Linked DNA regions of Saccharomyces cerevisiae S288C. The protein of the gene in region 2 binds, or shares a complex with, the protein of the main gene of each other region. Each region holds a gene or a part of one and is shown on either strand. Other genes may lie near its edges. A codon is read from its position in the direction of its gene.

Region 1 (10,158 bases), on a different chromosome or scaffold from region 2:
ATTAACTTATCATTCATTCCTAAATGTGGTGGAGGTCTTATGTATAGTTCTTCTTTGATGTCTGCATACAAATATGCCGAAGATATGTCTAATTGTGTAATATAGTAGTTATTGTCTGATGCAAGTGACAGGGATGTCATTAATGCATAGTGATGTACGGTATTGGATTGCATGCCTGGGTCGTAAGTGTCAGGATGTTGAATATCACCTCTTGCAACAAATCTAGCTTTATGAGTACCGCCACGTTTCCTGTTAAAGATAAACATTGAATTTATTACTCTTTTGGGGTCTATTTCTTTTCTGTCATAATATCTGTCAGTGTCCCAAGTTTTCATCTTCAACAGTTGATTGACTTCTTTGTGGTATGCCTGGATATATTTTTCTTTTTCTTTAATATCTTTATTATAGGTGATTGCCTCATCGTATCGTAAGGTAGTTCGTATTGGTTTGATTGATTTTACTGCTTTTACAGCTGCAATCAGGTGAATTCGTTTCTTCGATCTCGGAGGTTCTAAACTACGCATATTCTTAGTATTCCATGTGTCTCGTGATACCTTAATTTCAGTTTCATTATCTTCTAATGATCTTTTCTTACTGTTGATAGTAGTATAGGCATTAGAGTCACCAATACCACCCAAACTGGAATTAGTTTGATGAGAATTTATCGGTGGGAGTTCTTTAAAGGAGTCTGATAATTCGGTAGGAGGTTCTGGAGGCAGATCGGGGAGTGGAAGATCAGCGATAATAGATTCCTCTGTATTCTCCTTAGGACAGGTATCTGACGTTTTGATAGGAACGACGTGGTGTAGTGAATTACTTTCTGATGAGGAAGTATCGATCGAAGGTGAACGGTGTATGATCCTTTTCTCAGTCTCCTGTTCGCTTGTCTGCGGAACAGTTTTATTATTGGTACCACCCGTACTGGATATTGGTACGTTTGTATGATTAGTCTCATTGTCACTGTACGAGTCTGAGTGTCTGAAATCTTTAGATTTACTGGCGTGCGACGACTCATGTGTGTTAGATTGGGACATGGGAGCAAGTAAAGGAACATCTAATCTATGCATACCACCCGAACCGGTACTCTCGATATCGGAAATTTGGGGGGTGCTAGATCTCTTCTTAGATGGAAGAATATTAGATTCAGATATGTTGGGGTCAACTTCTCTGGGTGCGCGAATATTGGTTTTGGAAACACGTTTCGAATCTTCAGTATGAGTTGACGGAGGTGTGGAATCGGTTGGACTCACAGCTTTTGAAAGGACATTTCTCGGTTGCTCAGGATGTAGTTCGATGTCAGATTGGAAGTCATGGTCAGATTCTATGTTAAGATCATCGGATTGTTGGATCTCATTTGACGCAATGAACGATTGATATGAAGCAGTTAAACGGTTTAAGTCTTCATCGAAAGTGAGTGCGTCGTAATTGAATTGATCTAATCTGGATTCCTTGCCCTGAAGAATAACATAGTTAGTTGTATCTACTGTCTTCTTTAAGGATGGAAGATAGATGATATATCCATAAGAGTTTCGAGACGGATGTAGAGCGTAGCCTGGGATGCCACGAGGATGTATTTTGGAGTTAGGGTTGTGATCATTGACGATAACAGGTTGACCGAAAGGTAACAAAGTACTGATATCAAGTCCTGCCAAGCCAGCATGTTGTCTTGCAGATTTTTTGCTTTTAGGTGAAGCTAGTGAATTTCTCACAATAGTAGAAAATTCGATTGCAGAGAACCATAAATGGTTCGGTAAACCACTACATTGCAGTTGAGTACGGCAGTCATCTAATAAGGTACGGTTGAGCCGTTCAGCGACTCCATGTGCTCGGGAATCCGCTGTGGTTGTATAGCATGGAGTTATACCATTTTTTTCAAGGAATTTATGGAGAGTTCTGTTAGTATACTCAGAACCACGGTCCATTTGTATAACCAAGACACTGGCCTGAAACTGGTTTTTAATAAAAGCTAGTATCGTAGTAAAAACATCGAGGATAGAGTCCTCGCGACGGTCGTGTAATGGATAAACCCAACGGAATTTTGTTGTCTCATCAGTAAATGAGATGAAATAGGATGGTGCACTTTTTGGTAGGTTGTGAACTGGACCAAATATGTCAGTATGTAGGTATTGAAAGGGTTCGTATGAATTTTGGTATTTTAGTCGTGAACCTTTGATATGTCTGTGTTTGGTGCTTTTGCCGATTAAACAATCAGGACATTGATAGTCAATAGCACTAGACCAGTCGACATCTGATTCGTTAAAATACGTGATGGTGTTATTTTTAAGTGAGTATCGAATTGTCTGTGCATTGGCATGCGCAAGCATTCGATGAATGAAAGGATAAGGATATTTGCGTGTACTTTCACTTGTATGGACATTATTGATGGTGGGTACGGAGATATTTGATGGAAGCAAGTACTTTTTAGATACCCAGTAAAAGTCTCCATATTTTACGATAGGTGCAAGTACAGTGCCGTCAGACCGTTCTAAGACGTTTTTGGTAAAGCATGCTGTGATATCTACTGCAGCCAATTCATTCAAACTGAGTAAGTCATAGGCTATGTTAGGAGTGTGCAATACCTTTATTGATGTTTTGGTGTTGTCCTGGAAGTGAAATTGTAGGTCACCAATAGCGTTAATTGGTATATTTCTTTTTTGAGCATCAACTACGTTTATGTCAGGATTAGATGATGCTGAGTGTATGTGATGAGCAGATCTTATAAGGGTTCGTGATGCTCCTGAATCGAGAAGGAGGTGTCCAGGGAGTTCATCATCAGAATGATTAGTATGATTTACTGTAGATTCAGTAAGTTTCTGGCCTAAGATGAAGGTCGTGCTTATTGTTCAATTGAATCGGTTCAGTAGTTGATTTACTGATGGAATCGTTGTCCGTGCTGGGAGAGTTATTAGATGTGGATACATTGTGAGCCCTGGCTGTTTTCGATTTCGAATTATTTGTTTTTTGAGGATTCCGAGCTATAACTTTGGGTTTGGTTGTATTCGTATAGCTGCGAGAATCATTCTTCTCATCACTCGGATTTCTCCTGTAATTAGGTTTGCTGTTTCTCGATCCCTGTTGTTCTTCATAAATAGCATGGATATCTAAGAACAGTTCAGCGACTGTCATATTTAGATGTCGATGACGTGTGTAGCGTAAAAATTTATATTCGCCAGATAGACCTCTCATAATTAATTGGCATGCGACCTTGTTATTGATATGAATGCCATTATTGTTCAGTCTGTCGATAATGTTTGTGACTTTTGTTTCAAATGCATCTGCAGGTGTACTGCCATTATATTGCAAATTTGCCAGGGTCACAATGTCGTTTGCCTCTTGGGTATCAGATTGCATTTTTTCAATACTTTTGGAAAGAATTTTCATGATATCCGTATAATCAACGGATAGGATGTCTTTGACCCAGGTAGGTAGGAATTGAGAGGGAGCAAATATTTGAAAAGTGTTATACAAGAAGGTGAGTTCATCATCAGTGATCTGACGTACGGGTTTTCCGTTTACTGTCGGAATAATACCACCGAGATTCGAGTTTTGTAAAAATTTGATGTATGTTTTAACCCAATTTGGAAAATCATTAGGTGAGGTTAACATTGGTGGTGGTCTGACATATTTTTTAGTGGATGTCATATCAGAGTCCGCTGAGGATGAATCAGTAAATGTATTACCTGACTCAGGTGATGGAGTGCTCAGAGGCGTTCCAACTGATGATGGATACTGCGGAAACTGTGATTGTGGCCCAGGTGGAAAGTACATAGGCGACATTTGATAAGGTGTATACGGAATCATAGATGGGTGTCCGTAAAATGACCAACCAGATGGATTGGCTTGGTTTTGGGTCATCATGCACTGCTGTGGGTACGGCCCATTCTGTGGAGGTGGTACTGAAGCAGGTTGAGGAGAGGCATGATGGGGGTTCTCTGGAACAGCTGATGAAGCAGGTGTTGTTGTCTGTTGAGAGTTAGCCTTAGTGGAAGCCTTATCATATTCTTGAATTTTGGAAGCTGAAACGTCTAACGGATCTTGATTTGTGTGGACTTCCTTAGAAGTAACCGAAGCACAGGCGCTACCATGAGATATATGTGGGTAATTAGATAATTGTTGGGATTCCATTGTTGATAGAGGCTATAATATTAGGTATACAGAATATACTAGAAGTTCTCCTCGAGGATATAGGAATCCTCAAAATGGAATCTATATTTCTACATACTAATATTACGATTATTCCTCATTCCGTTTTATATGTTTATATTCATTGATCCTATTACATTATCAATCCTTGCGTTTCAGCTTCCTCTAACATCGATGACAGCTTCTCATAACTTATGTCATCATCTTAACACCGTATATGATAATATATTGATAATATAACTATTAGTTGATAGACGATAGTGGATTTTTATTCCAACACTTTCATACGTAACGGGGGTAATATTACTAGCTGTTAGAATAAGAGTCAACGATCATAATTGACTAGTAACGCAAATACTACTAAACAGATGATGTTTTAGAGTTTCATTCTAACAAATTGATAATGTAGTAGAATAATGAATGACAAAGTATAAAAGAAAGGAAGACAAAGTGATTTTATTATCAGAACTATCAACTCCCTTTCGTGAATTCCAAGACTGTTGAGGAGAACTTCTAGTATATTTTGTATACCTAATATCAACAACGAAATCCCAACAATTAATACGAAGTTCACCCATTTTCTGATAATTGTTACGTGCAAATAATAGAACTACTTTTGTCGAGGTGTAATCTCGTATTCAAACTATATAGTAAATTATTCTCAATGGTCGAGTAATGCAAGAAGATGATATTGAATACTTTGCGTAACTTTACCAATTATCCAATATGCAACAGTAAAATGATACCTTCACATTTCAAGCTAATTCCAAAATAATACATATTAGGTAAAATCCTCAATTTAATTGCCCGGTTTTACCTTCAGACATCGCTCCCTTTCCATTGACACATCTATACCCTTCAATGAACCCGCTATGTAATATCAACGCATCGTAAAAATAGAATAATAATGCAGTAGTACATATCCAGCCTAGCTGCAATCTAAATAGCTGTGATAGTCGGTGTAAATTAATAGTTTGGTCAGTTTTAAAAAAAAACCTAATTTTGGTACAAAAGTAGAAGCTGAAAGCAGTCATTGATACCAATAACAAATACTTTAGCTGAAACCATTTAGGATACTTTTTTCTGGCAGCACAGCTGGGACATACTACCTTCGAACATCTCTTTGGCTTTGTTTTATTTTCATTTTTAAAATGACCGTTCTTTCGATATAAAAAGAAAACTATAATAACGAGGGAAATTGTTACCGCCCCCAGAATCATATCTATGATCTTAATGATGATTGCTTTTGGGTACTTTTCAATCAAATTATCTACTGATGGCACCATAAAACAATTTATAAAATAAAGGCTACAAACGGCCTTTGTTAATTTTTCTATAATTAATAAGGAATTAGACTTTGGGATCTCATCTTGGCTTTCTGTCGCACTAAGTTCTGCCTCTTTCATTATTTCCTATACTTTGAAGGAGAAAGTAAACTTTAACGGCAAGTTCCTGTCTTAACTACCTTTTAGTTCTCGTGTGTTGTGAAGGGCCTTTGAGGAAAAACTCGAAAGTTTGTTCCGTACTTTTAAACTTTCAATTTTTTACCAAAAAGGCTATTTACCGCTTTATGGGAAGATCATGGCAAGTCAAATCCACGTTAAATGGAACAAGATTAACTTGCCACAGATCAAATGCTGAATTGAAGAGAAGTTTTAAGCATTAAGATTCTTAATATGATCATTAATATATCAGTACGTGTCTCAACTGGAATCGTATAAGGTTCTTGTAAGTACAAATTGTATGCAGAAATTTAAATGCGAGAACAAAACTTGAATCTCCCCCCGCATTTAAAAAATATCTTTTTGAACACAGTGCAACTGATTAAAAGTACCTGTAATACATATATATGTTTGTATACGTATGTATATCTAATTATTTCTTACCGTCAAATCATAATTATTTTTATCCGTTCGTAAAGCAATCCAGTGCTAAATACCAATTGTGAGGCCATCGGCTTAGTTTGGAACAGCAGTGTAGATACCGTCCTTGGATAGAGCGCTGGAGATAGCTGGTCTCAATCTGGTGGAGTACCATGGGACACCAGTGATGACTCTAGTGACTTGATCAGCGGGAATACCAGTCAACATAGTGGTGAAATCACCGTAGTTGAAAACAGCTTCAGCAATTTCAACTGGGTAAGTTTCAGTTGGATGAGCAGCTTGGAACATATAGTATTCAGCCAAATGAGCTCTGATATCTGAGACGTAGACACCTAATTCGACCAGGTTAACTCTTTCGTCAGAGGGAGATAAAGTAGTGGTGGCTGGGGCAGCAGCGACACCAGCAGCAATAGCAGCGACACCAGCAACAATTGAAGTTAGTTTGACCATTTTTTTCGATTGAACTTTTGTAGATCTTTTTAGTGAAGATGTGAGCTCACTCGAATGTAAATAACAATGCCAAATTGTCGGAAAGAGTTAATCAAAGCTGCTCTATTTATATGCCGTTTTTTAATAAGCGACGGACGAACAGATAAATTGTTGAATAGCTATTTCACTGCTGATATTTCTCTTACTTGGGCTCCCCTATCCCATACTCTTCACCACTACAAATATGCAGTTGCCCTTTCTTCAACAATGCTTTTTTTATAGATCTCGTATACGGATCCGCGCCTTTGTACTACCTATATCTTATTATGATATATACAGGAGCACAGGAATGTTCGGTACAGGGATGATACCTTTAAAGGAAGTTTTGGCATGCCTTGACAACTTCAATTAATCTTTGGCCAAGAAAATGAACCAGAAATCAAATTTTATTCTGTGCCCTCTGAACGAGGGCAATATCCAATGTTTGACACTAAACGGTTGTCAGGAGAAAAATTGAATGTTTCCCAAATCAGAAACATTAAAATCCCTCTATATGATCAGAGGAGTCGTACCTGTTAGGGTATGAGCGAGGAAACGTGATTGAGAGTTATAAACTGACCATACGAAGAGTTACGGCCATTGATTGGGTTCATGACACCCAGGGAAGTTTCTTTTGGATTAAAATCACAAGTCTTGCAATTGCTGTATGTATTGCATGAGTGAAGTAGTTGGCATCTAATGGATACCCACTTAGGGAGTTTATGGATGAATCTTGTCTTCATAGGGTAGCTCGAGAGTGTTTTTTAATCTAGTGATATCCACTTAGCTAAGCGCGGCTGGAGATACAATATTTACAAAGGCAATTTCAAAAGTAGGAGCGTTTTCAAAGGCCTGCTCCATTCTCCGTTGAGGTAGTAGAAGCAAATATAAACGGTTAATCTTGCTGTTTTCCTTGTTTTGTCTGTTGGTTTTCACTTGCTGAAGCCTGTGGTTCAACAGTACTCGGAGAATCGGCCTTATCTAGTCTCCTTCTGACCTGTAATGCGTAAAATTACGACAAACGTATTTCGTGAAACAATTGATAGGAAAATTGTCATTTGCTTGTTAAGGCAGTGCATTGAGGCTCTTTAAAGGTACTTTAGAAGTTTATGTTACTATCCTTCTAGCCTGATAGAACAATAAGTAAAGAATTGACATTCAGAAATCAGCCATCATTTCGTTTAGTAGTAGCAATCGCAAGTAGTGACTGTAAGAGATAGAAATGTGTACTTCAGTCTGGAACTGGGGCGCTTGTGAAGGATGTGTGCCGATCTCAGGCTGTTGATGAAGGTCTCTTCAAATACTATATTATTATCTTTTAGTAGGTCCCAGGAAGTGCCTTATTCTCAACATGTTCAGCGTTTATCTTTCTCAGCCTGAATGTATTTCAAACGATGACTAGAAGAGATTAGTACCCCTTATATAATCCTCGAAAATGTTGCTATCTCAGTGAATTGAAAGTTCATGCTGACGTCTTTATCAGCGTTATCCATTGCCTTGTTCTTTTCAGTGCAGTGGCAGATGTTACGAGGGTCAAATAATTTTTGAATATATATAGAAATGGCTACTTACTATAATTAAAAATAAATATGAAAAATAAAACTTCAGTACCCCACATCATTCTCATTTTTTTCTGTTTGTTTGATTTTTAGGAATTTGGCTCCATCATGAACATTCGTTAGCGTATGATATCACTTTTTCATTATCTCCTATTGTTACTTTACTTTTCATATAGATATCCTTCATCCCGTGTAGGTCTACTACGCAAAAATGAATTCTAGTAATTAATAATAATGATATAAAAAAGGCTAAGTGCACATTACTAAAAACGAAACTAAGATCCTTAGTCTGAGTTGATATCACCTGCGAAAATACCTTTTTCTCTTTGATCATCCCATTTTTCGATCCAGTCTAGGGGACATAAGGCGTTATAGGTCTTCCAAAAGACCTTGCACGGAGCAAAATCTTCGCCCTTCATATTAACACACTTGTGATAATCCACATAAGATTGCCAACAATGCTTTGTTTGGTTTTGTTGGGGAAATCTAGCATCGAAACCAACTGTATGTAGTGGAGAGTTTTCTTGATCAGCCATGTCTATTATACTGTATTTATGTGCTTGTTCCTATTTGTGAAAGCAAAGATACTTTATGTATTCTTACTAAAATATTTGTATATCTCTGCTAATCATTTTAATGCAACTTTTCTATCTGGTGCATCTTTCATCACCTTTTAAAGATCCTGAAGGGATGGGGATATCGGGCAAAACTACGCGCGACGCATTTCTGAAAATTGATTGGTCAATGTTATGAAGCTATATGGTAAAGAATACATGGTGTCATATAGATTTATTTGAATCTCTCGAGTGCTTTTTGAACCAATTGTGTGTTGTTTTCTCTGTCTAATTCCTTGAGTAAGCGTATTAATTGGAAACACATGTCCCACGAATCGGTAGCTTTAATTGGGTCTGTGGCGTTTGCAGCACTTGTCACCAAAAGCTCTAAGACTTTAAGCATTAATTCTTCATCCTTCAATAAATTAGTGACAGATTTCTCTGACTTTTTTGTAGAGTTATCATTTAGAGCTTTGCTTTCCTCAGTCCCTAAATCTGATTTCTTAAAATGTAGATCATCTCCCAAATCTTTCTCATCGTAATTTAAAAACACTAACAGAAGTACGCCAAGCATTTTAGCCTCATTTTCTTCGATACAGAGTGCTAATAAATCTCTTGGTGTCATCTTTAGATTAGTGAATAGATGGTTCCAGTATTTAGTTTCGATCTTCCTTAAACAATTACTAATAATTTCTAACATACCACTGTGGGTTGGTGGTGAAATATTATGCTCAGGATCGGTGTTGTCATACATCTTAATTAATTTCAGGATATCATCCAAAGAGTCGCTTCGCAGTATTTTAGTAGACAAAATCTTTTCGAGTGCAAATTTGTAAGGCTTTAAAAAACGATAATTGTGTGAAATATCCTCCAAATCTGTGTTGTCTTCTAATTTGGCTAAGATTAATTGGTCGAGGTATATTTGGTGTTTCACCACCAATTTGGAAAATCGCGCGTTAAAAATGCAGTGAAGTGTATGTGTTGTAGCTGTTTCTGGGGTGGTTGATATTGGATACAAATCTTCTTCGATTGGAATGGAAACTAGTGGCTTTTTATCATCCCATAAATCTTCCAAAGAGTATACGACGTAATTATGGCCTTGAACTACAAATATTTCGTCCCTGATAACATCGATTATTTTTTCTATGTTATCCAACAAAGTTAAGGTTTGCCAGCCCCCTCCATCCACTTTGCCAAGCTTTATAAATTTCCTATCGGCAAAAAATAACAAGCCCTCCTTCATGTTAATTATCCACTCAATTTTGTTGGGTAAAACATCAATTGGAATGTTAATTTTGAGATACTGGTAGAATTTTTTGATGATGTTTAATCCACATGGATGTACAGTAGAAATTACATCGAAGACAATTGTCTGTGTATCAGTAACTAAAATAATCTCGGCAGTTTTAAGCAATGCATCAGGTTGTTTTTCAGAAGCATTGTGATTCTTGGATTTCATTTTCAACAACTTATACCGGGATAAAGTATTAACATGTAAACTGAAAACAATCGTATTCTCTGGAACATTGTATTCCCACATGACATAATCTG
Region 2 (10,856 bases):
TTAATATTTAATATTTTAAGTTCCGGGGCCCGGCCACGGGAGCCGGAACCCCGAAAGGAGTAGTATTAATTATGGATAGTGAGGGTGGATTTAATCCTTTTGTTATGTTATTAATTAATTAATTAATTTATATATATAAAATATTTTAATTAATTTTTATATAAATATATATATATATATATATTAATAATAGTCCGGCCCGCCCCGTGGGGCGGACCCCAAAGGAGTAATATATATTATGTATAAACAATAGAGAATATTGTTTAATGGTAAAACAGTTGTCTTTTAAGCAACCCATGCTTGGTTCAACTCCAGCTATTCTCATAATATTATATATATATATTTCCCTTTCTAAAAATAATAATAATTATATATAATAATAATATAATTATATATATATATATTATAATAATAATAATAATAATAATAATAAATAATAATAATTATTTTTATTAATAATATTAATATATTATAATTATTAATAAATATTAATAAAAATAGCTCTCTTAGCTTAATGGTTAAAGCATAATACTTCTAATATTAATATTCCATGTTCAAATCATGGAGAGAGTAATTATATTATATTAATAATCCCCCCCCCATTTTTAATTAAATTAAGAAGTTTAATTTACTATTTAATAATAAATGAAATAATAATAATAGATATAAGTTAATTGGTAAACTGGATGTCTTCCAAACATTGAATGCGAGTTCGATTCTCGCTATCTATAATTAATATTAATATAAATTAATATCCTATAATTAATTAAATACAAAATTATATTAAAACTTATATTATATTATATTATAATATTATATTATTATTATATAAAAATATAATAATAATAATATTTAATTTTATTTAATAATAATATTTTATATAATAAAATAATCATATTTATAATATTTAATATTAATAATAATTTATTATAATAATTCTTTAATATACTTATTTATTATTATTTTAATAAATAAATATAATTCTTATAAATATATTATAACAAAATATATTATATTTTAATTAAATACAATATTATAAATATATATATATATATAAATATTTATATAAAAAAAAAATAAAAATATTTTAATAATTATTCTTTATAAATAAATAATGATAATAATAATTTATAATAATCTCCTTGTGGGGTTCCGGCTCCCGTGGCCGGGCCCCGGAACTATAATATATTTTAATATATTTTTTATTACTCCTCCTTTGGGGTCCGCCCCGCGGGGGCGGGGCGGACTATAATAATTTTTTATTGATAAAAAAGTATATATAATATAATTAATATATTTCTTTTTATATAAATTATAAATATTATTTTATAATAAAAAAAGTATATATAATATTATATATTTAATAAATAATATAATAATAATATAAATAAATATATATATATTATTAATATATTAAATTTTATAATAATAATTATAATAATAGTAGTAGGTATAAATTTTAATAAAGAGTTTTATTCCAATGGAGTAATAATAATAATAATAATAAAATAAAGGATCTGTAGCTTAATAGTAAAGTACCATTTTGTCATAATGGAGGATGTCAGTGCAAATCTGATTAGATTCGTATATTTATACTTAATATAAAAAAAATAAATAATAATCTTTTTTATTATTATATTTATTAATAATAAATTATTTTGTTATTATTATTAATTTATATTAATATTTTATATAAATTATTTATTTAATCTTTCATTATATATTTAATATATTATTAATATTAATTAATATTTTATAATAAATAAATAAAATAAAATAAATATTTTAATATAATACTCCTTCGGGGTTCGGTCCCCCTCCCATTAGTATAGTATAGGGAGGGGTCCCTCACTCCTTCGGGGTCCCCGCCGGGGCGGGGACTTATTTTTATATTTATTAATAATAATTAATTTTTATATAAATTTATTATTTCTTACAATATATTTATTACTATTATTTTTTAATAATCTTATATATAATATATAAAATATATATATATTATATATATATATAAATATAATATATATTATTATAAATATTTATAATCTTATTAATTAATTAGATTATATTATATTATATTAGATCATATTATATTATATTATATTATATTATATTATTATTATTAATATTTTTATTTTTATTTTATATTTAATAGTAAAAAATCATAATTTTATAATTTATTAATTATTATATAATTTCATTAATATATTTCTTCTTTTTATTTATTTATTTATTACTTATTAATAGTTCCGGGGCCCGGCCACGGGAGCCGGAACCCCGAAAGGAAAATAATATAAAAAATAATTATAATTTATTATAATTTATTAATTTATTAATTTATTAATTTATTTATTAATTTATTAATTTATTTATTATTATATTTTTTTTAATAAAGGAAAATTAACTATAGGTAAAGTGGATTATTTGCTAAGTAATTGAATTGTAAATTCTTATGAGTTCGAATCTCATATTTTCCGTATATATCTTTAATTTAATGGTAAAATATTAGAATACGAATCTAATTATATAGGTTCAAATCCTATAAGATATTATATTATATTATATAATATTATATATTAATAAATATTATTAATTAATTTATTTATTTATTTATTATTAAATAAAAATATTTAATAGTTCCGGGGCCCGGCCACGGGAGCCGGAACCCCGAAAGGAGAATAATATAAAATATTATAATTATTTATATATTAATTATTAATTATTTATTATTTATTATATAAAAAGTATATAATTTTATATTTTAATATAGGGTTAATTAATTAATTATTAATTTTTTATAATAAGATAATAATATATTAAAAACTTATTATAAATTTATAAAATAATATTTATTTACTTTGATATTATTTTTAATCTTTCATTAATATATATTTTATTATAAGTAATAATATAGTTTAATTTAATTAATATAAATAAATTACATAAGAATAATATTATAATAATATTATATATTATATAAAGAAATAATAATTTATATTTTTATTTTTTTTATAAATAATATAAATATAAATATAATGGGGTTATAGTTAAATTTGGTAGAACGACTGCGTTGCATGCATTTAATATGAGTTCAAGTCTCATTAACTCCAATAATTATATTATATAATATATATATTAATAAATTATATATATATATATATATATAAATATTAAATAAATATTATATTAATAAATAATATAAATTATCTAATCGAAGGAGATATTTATAATATAATATAAATATTTTAATAAATTAATAAATATTATATTAATAAATAATTAATAAATATATAAATTATAATAAATTTTAATATTATTATATAAATTAATTAAATATAATAATTAATGAAATAGAAACTATAATTCAATTGGTTAGAATAGTATTTTGATAAGGTACAAATATAGGTTCAATCCCTGTTAGTTTCATATTATATATCATTAATATATAAAATATAAATATATATATTATAATAATAATAATAATAAATATAAATATAATTATATATATATATATATATAAATAAATAATTATTTAATTTATAATAAATATATATAGTTCCCGCGAAGCGGGAACCCCATAAGGAGTTTTATTATTAATTATATTTAATAAATATTAATTATTAATTTTATATTTATAAATAAATTTATTACTCCTTCTTAATTAAGAATAAAAAGGGATGCGGTTCCCATGGGGTCCCGCACTCCTTCGGGGTCCGCCCCCTCCCCTGCGGGAGGGGAGCGGACTATTTTATTAAAAATATTATAATTAAATAATAATATAAATAATTTATAATATAATAATATATACTTATAAATAATATTTAAATCTTATTATTAATTTATAAATCATAAATTATTATTAATAAATATCTCTTTTAGATAAGATAAATTGAACTTATATTTATATTATATATATATAGATATAAATCTTAAATAGAGTAAATATATTATAATAATTATATAAATATATATATATTATATTAAGATAATAATATATATATATATTAATATATAAGGAGGGATTTTCAATGTTGGTAGTTGGAGTTGAGCTGTAAACTCAATGACTTAGGTCTTCATAGGTTCAATTCCTATTCCCTTCATAATTTATTATTAATTATATATTATTATAAATCAAATCCATTGAAATTAATATAATCCAATGAATAATTAATTTAATACATAATTTAATATATAAAATTATATATATATATACTTTATAAAAAAAAAAATTATATAATAATTATATTAATATATTTATATATATAAATAAATAAATAAATAATAATAATTATAATTATAATTATAATTAATTAATTAATAAATAAATAATAATTTATATTATCTTTATAATATATATATATACTTTTATAAAAAAAATATATAAATAATTCTAAAATGTATATTTCTCCTTTCGGGGTTCCGGCTCCCGTGGCCGGGCCCCGGAACTATTAATAAAATTAATAATAAAATAATTATTATCTGTATTTAATAAATTTAATTATAGAGTTATATTTCTATATATTTATATATTTATTTATTTATTCTCCTTCCGGAACTAATAAAATATATAAAATAAGGGTTTTTATTTATTTAATTAATATATATTTATTCTTTTATATAATATGTCCTTATAGCTTATCGGTTAAAGCATCTCACTGTTAATGAGAATAGATGGGTTCAATTCCTATTAAGGACGATAATAATATATATATATTTTAATTTATATATCATATATATATATATATTAAAGAAAATAATATAAAAAGTATGTATTAATAATAATAATAAATAAATAATAATAAATAATTTTATTATATTATATTATATTATATTTATTGATATATTTATTGATATTTATTAATTTAAGATTATTCATTAAATATATAATTATTAATAATTTAATATATTTTATAATTTTTATTATATTTTATGTAAGAAGAAACTATTTTATATATTATATATATATATATAATTTTTATAAAATGATAAATTTTATATTATAAATATTATTAAAATATTTTTATAAATATTTAAATTATTTATAAAAAGGTATATAATAATAATTATTAATATTATATTATATTATATATTTATTTATATTATATATAATAATATATTTATATATATATTAATTAATAAATTAAATAAGTATCTATATTTTATATTATATTATATTATTTTATTTTATTAATTCCGGAAGGAGAATAAAAAGTATTCTAAAGAAATTATATATTTATTATTTTTATTAATATGTTATAAATTAATAAAAAATAAATATGTATATATAAATTATATTTATTATGTTTAATTATTTATAATTTATTATAATATATAGTATAAGATATCTTATTTATATTTATATATAATAAAGAATATTATTAAACTAACACCTATATTATATATATTATATTATATAATATTATATATATATTAATTACTAAGAATAAATTTATAATTAGATAATATTTATATTTATTTATTTATTTAATTAACAAATATATTAATATTTTTAATTAATTAATAATACCTTTATATATATATATATATATATATTAATTTTAATTATATAATTATCTTTTTTATTAATAATTATAAATATATTATATATTTTATATAATAAGATTATAATTTTATAATTATTTTATTTTTTATTAAAAATTATTATTATTATAATTATTATATTATAATTATAAATTATTAAAGAATATATTTATTAATATTTTAATAATTAATATCTTTTATTTATATTTATAAAATAAGGTATAAATATTGATAATAAAGAGTAAATATTGTATTAATTATAATAATAATTATAATTAAGGAGCTTGTATAGTTTAATTGGTTAAAACATTTGTCTCATAAATAAATAATGTAAGGTTCAATTCCTTCTACAAGTAATAATGATTATAATATTTATATATATTAAAATAATATTAATAAATAATTACTCCTCCTAGCAGGATTCACATCTCCTTCGGCCGGACTCCTTCGGGGTCCGCCCCGCGGGGGCGGGCCGGACTATTTTATTATTATTAAATAGATGTTCATTAAATAATTATAAATATAATTTATCTTTTAAATATATATATATAATATAATATTTAAATATATATTATAAATAAATAAATAAATAATTAATTAATAAAAACATATAATGTATATTTATCTATAAAAAATATTAATTAAATTAATATATTATTACAGTTCCGGGGGCCGGCCACGGGAGCCGGAACCCCGAAGGAGATAAATAAATAAATAAATATAAATAATTCTTCTTCTTTAAAATTAAATAAAATAAAATAAAAAGGGGGGCGGACTCCTTCGGGGTCCCGCCCCCCTCCGCGGGGCGGACTATTTTATTTTTAAATATATATTATATTAATAATATAAATATAAGTCCCCGCCCCGGCGGGGACCCCGAAGGAGTATAAATAAAAATTAATAATATATTATATATATATTATATTAATAATAATAATAATAATAATAATAATAAATAATAACTCCTTGCTTCATACCTTTATAAATAAGGTAATCACTAATATATTATAATAATAAAAATTATATATATTATATATAATCTAAATATTATATATTTTAATAAATATTAATATATATGATATGAATATTATTAGTTTTTGGGAAGCGGGAATCCCGTAAGGAGTGAGGGACCCCTCCCTAACGGGAGGAGGACCGAAGGAGTTTTAGTATTTTTTTTTTTTTAATAAAATATATATTTATATGATTAATAATATTATATATATTATTTATAAAAATAATATATAATTTTAATTATTTTTAATAAAAAAAGGTGGGGTTGATAATATAATATAATATTTTTTATTTTAATTTATAATATATAATAATAAATTATAAATAAATTTTAATTAAAAGTAGTATTAACATATTATAAATAGACAAAAGAGTCTAAAGGTTAAGATTTATTAAAATGTTAGATTTATTAAGATTACAATTAACAACATTCATTATGAATGATGTACCAACACCTTATGCATGTTATTTTCAGGATTCAGCAACACCAAATCAAGAAGGTATTTTAGAATTACATGATAATATTATGTTTTATTTATTAGTTATTTTAGGTTTAGTATCTTGAATGTTATATACAATTGTTATAACATATTCAAAAAATCCTATTGCATATAAATATATTAAACATGGACAAACTATTGAAGTTATTTGAACAATTTTTCCAGCTGTAATTTTATTAATTATTGCTTTTCCTTCATTTATTTTATTATATTTATGTGATGAAGTTATTTCACCAGCTATAACTATTAAAGCTATTGGATATCAATGATATTGAAAATATGAATATTCAGATTTTATTAATGATAGTGGTGAAACTGTTGAATTTGAATCATATGTTATTCCTGATGAATTATTAGAAGAAGGTCAATTAAGATTATTAGATACTGATACTTCTATAGTTGTACCTGTAGATACACATATTAGATTCGTTGTAACAGCTGCTGATGTTATTCATGATTTTGCTATTCCAAGTTTAGGTATTAAAGTTGATGCTACTCCTGGTAGATTAAATCAAGTTTCTGCTTTAATTCAAAGAGAAGGTGTCTTCTATGGAGCATGTTCTGAGTTGTGTGGGACAGGTCATGCAAATATGCCAATTAAGATCGAAGCAGTATCATTACCTAAATTTTTGGAATGATTAAATGAACAATAATTAATATTTACTTATTATTAATATTTTTAATTATTAAAAATAATAATAATAATAATAATTATAATAATATTCTTAAATATAATAAAGATATAGATTTATATTCTATTCAATCACCTTATATTAAAAATATAAATATTATTAAAAGAGGTTATCATACTTCTTTAAATAATAAATTAATTATTGTTCAAAAAGATAATAAAAATAATAATAAGAATAATTTAGAAATAGATAATTTTTATAAATGATTAGTAGGATTTACAGATGGAGATGGTAGTTTTTATATTAAATTAAATGATAAAAAATATTTAAGATTTTTTTATGGTTTTAGAATACATATTGATGATAAAGCATGTTTAGAAAAGATTAGAAATATATTAAATATACCTTCTAATTTTGAAGAACTACTTAAAACAATTATATTAGTAAATTCACAAAAGAAATGGTTATATTCTAATATTGTAACTATTTTTGATAAGTATCCTTGTTTAACAATTAAATATTATAGTTATTATAAATGAAAAATAGCTATAATTAATAATTTAAATGGTATATCTTATAATAATAAAGATTTATTAAATATTAAAAATACAATTAATAATTATGAAGTTATACCTAATTTAAAAATTCCATATGATAAAATAAATGATTATTGAATTTTAGGTTTTATTGAAGCTGAAGGTTCATTTGATCTATCTCCAAAACGTAATATTTGTGGTTTTAATGTTTCACAACATAAACGTAGTATTAATACATTAAAAGCTATTAAATCTTATGTATTAAATAATTGAAAACCAATTGATAATACACCATTATTAATTAAAAATAAATTATTAAAAGATTGAGATTCATCTATTAAATTAACTAAACCTGATAAAAATGGAGTTATTAAATTAGAATTTAATAGAATAGATTTTTTATATTATGTTATTTTACCTAAATTATATTCATTAAAATGATATAGTCGTAAAGAAATTGATTTCCAATTATGAAAAACACTTATAGAAATCTATATAAAAGGTTTACATAATACACTTAAAGGTTCTAATTTATTAAAATTAATTAATAATAATATTAATAAAAAAAGATATTATTCTAATTATAATATTTCTCCTTTCGGGGTTCCGGCTCCCGTGGCCGGGCCCCGGAACTAAAAATATTATTGATGATGTATTAAATATAAATCTTATCTATAATTATAAATTACCATATCGTATAAATAGTGATATTCAACGTTTAAATTCTATAAATAATAATAATACTAAATTTATTAATGTTGGAGTATTTGTTTATGATTTAAATAATACATTAATTATAACATTTACTGGTTATAGACCAGCAGCTCTTTACTTTAATTGTTCTCCTTTTCGGGGTCCCGACTGGGGCCGGGACTAAACATGAAATTGCTAAATATATTAAAAATGGTAATGTATTTATAAATAAATATATTTTAAAAAATATTTTATTAGATTAATTATTATTTTTACTTCTTCTTAAAATTAAAAAAGGAGACTTTTTTATATTTATATAAATTATATATAAATTATTCTTTTATTATAAATATATAAAATTATTTTCTTTTAATTATTTTTATAATTAATTAATTCTTCATGGCTATAGCCATAACTTTTAATAATATTCTTTTATTCTTTATTATTATATATATATATATTTATTATTTATTATTATAGAATTTATATTTATAAAAATATTAATATTTTATTTAAAATAAATAATGATTAATTTATAAAATATATATTAATTAAGTTTCGGGTCCCGGCTACGGGACCCGGAACCCCCGAGAGGAGTTATTATATTTATAATTAAATCTTTAAATAATATATCTTAAATTATTATATTGATATTAATATTATATTGATATTAATATTAAATATATATTTAATATTTAGCTTATTATTTTATAAAATTATATTTATATATTATAATATAATTAAATATATTATAAATTTAATAATTTAATAAAAATATTCTTTTTATAATTATTATAATAATTAAATAAATAATAATAATAAGAATAATTAATGTATAATTTTTTTATAAATATTATATATTTTTATATTAATAGTTCCGGGGCCCGGCCACGGGAGCCGGAACCCCGAAAGGAGAAATATTAATAAAATAAAATAAAATTATAATATAATTAAATTATAAGAATTATATTTACTCCTTTTATAATTTATATTTATAATATAATATAATATAAAATAAATATAATATAATATAAAATAAATATAATGTAATAGGTATTCACTCCTCTTTGGGGTTCCGATCCCCCATACGGATACGGATACGGATACGAATACGGATACGGATACGGATACGGGGGGCCGTCCCCCAGAACTTAATATTATATCTTAAATAATTAATATAAATATAATATATTATTTAATAATAATAATAAATAAATAAATAAATAAATAAATAAATTAAATAAATAATAATATTATTATAATTACTTTTTAATAAATAATATTAATATAATATTATATTAGTATTATAAATAGACTTTTTATTATTTTATATATAATATAGTCCGGCCCGCCCCCGCGGGGCGGACCCCGAAGGAGTAATATATTATATAATTATTATTTTTAATTATAAATAAAATATAATTATTATTTATTATATAATTTATATAAATATATATATATATTTATTATATATATAAATATAAATATAAATATAATAATTAATAATATTAAAGTTTTATATATATTAATATATTATAAAAGGTTTATATATATATATAATAAGATAAGTAATAAATTAATTAATTAATAATATAAAAATATATATTATATATTATGTTTTATTTATATATATATATATATTATGTATTATTATATAAATATATATATATATTATATTATAAGTAATAATAAGTATTATATTATATATAGCTTTTATAGCTTAGTGGTAAAGCGATAAATTGAAGATTTATTTACATGTAGTTCGATTCTCATTAAGGGCAATAATAATAATATATTAATTAATAATTAATTTATAATAAATATATTATAATAATTAATATATATATATATAATATATTTAATACAAAGAAAATATATATTATATCTCTTATTTATTTATTTATTAATATTTTAATAAATATAATATTATAAAAAAAAGTTTA

The links.
Region 1: the proteins of COX2 (region 2) and COX12 are in contact, whole or in part, in a cryo-EM structure (PDB 6T15), measured with the Saccharomyces cerevisiae proteins. Residues at the interface, in NP_009326.1 of Saccharomyces cerevisiae: Val110 (codon at 7,277), Ile111 (codon at 7,280), Ser112 (codon at 7,283), Pro113 (codon at 7,286), Ala114 (codon at 7,289), Met115, Thr116 (codon at 7,295), Lys118 (codon at 7,301), Ile120 (codon at 7,307), Tyr122 (codon at 7,313), Lys127 (codon at 7,328), Glu129 (codon at 7,334), Ser131 (codon at 7,340), Asp132 (codon at 7,343), Phe133 (codon at 7,346), Ile134 (codon at 7,349), Thr140 (codon at 7,367), Arg176 (codon at 7,475), Val178 (codon at 7,481), Thr180 (codon at 7,487), Val197 (codon at 7,538), Pro201 (codon at 7,550), Gly202 (codon at 7,553), Arg203 (codon at 7,556), Leu204 (codon at 7,559), Asn205 (codon at 7,562), Gln206 (codon at 7,565), Val207 (codon at 7,568), Leu241 (codon at 7,670), Phe244 (codon at 7,679); in NP_013139.1 of Saccharomyces cerevisiae: Ser7 (codon at 8,571), Pro8 (codon at 8,568), Leu9 (codon at 8,565), His10 (codon at 8,562), Thr11 (codon at 8,559), Val12 (codon at 8,556), Gly13 (codon at 8,553), Phe14 (codon at 8,550), Gln20 (codon at 8,532), Gln21 (codon at 8,529), Asn22 (codon at 8,526), Gln23 (codon at 8,523), Thr24 (codon at 8,520), Trp52 (codon at 8,436), Asn56 (codon at 8,424), Ala57 (codon at 8,421), Leu58 (codon at 8,418), Cys59 (codon at 8,415), Pro60 (codon at 8,412), Leu61 (codon at 8,409), Asp62 (codon at 8,406), Trp63 (codon at 8,403).

What each region holds. Positions count from the first base shown.
Region 1 is NC_001144.5:216,584-226,741, forward strand, and holds COX12 (cytochrome c oxidase subunit VIb), read right to left. Parts: upstream 8,590-10,158; coding exon 8,338-8,589; downstream 1-8,337. Other genes in the region: YLR035C-A (gag-pol fusion protein), read right to left, coding at 1-2,324; YLR036C (uncharacterized protein), read right to left, coding at 4,938-5,549; seripauperin PAU23, read right to left, coding at 6,102-6,476; RIC1 (Ric1p), read right to left, coding at 8,843-10,158. UniProt on the Saccharomyces cerevisiae protein: Component of the cytochrome c oxidase, the last enzyme in the mitochondrial electron transport chain which drives oxidative phosphorylation.
Region 2 is NC_001224.1:66,809-77,664, forward strand, and holds COX2 (cytochrome c oxidase subunit 2), read left to right. Parts: upstream 1-6,949; coding exon 6,950-7,705; downstream 7,706-10,856. Other genes in the region: Q0255 (maturase-like protein), read left to right, coding at 7,687-8,814, 8,855-9,064, 9,096-9,176. UniProt on the Saccharomyces cerevisiae protein: Component of the cytochrome c oxidase, the last enzyme in the mitochondrial electron transport chain which drives oxidative phosphorylation.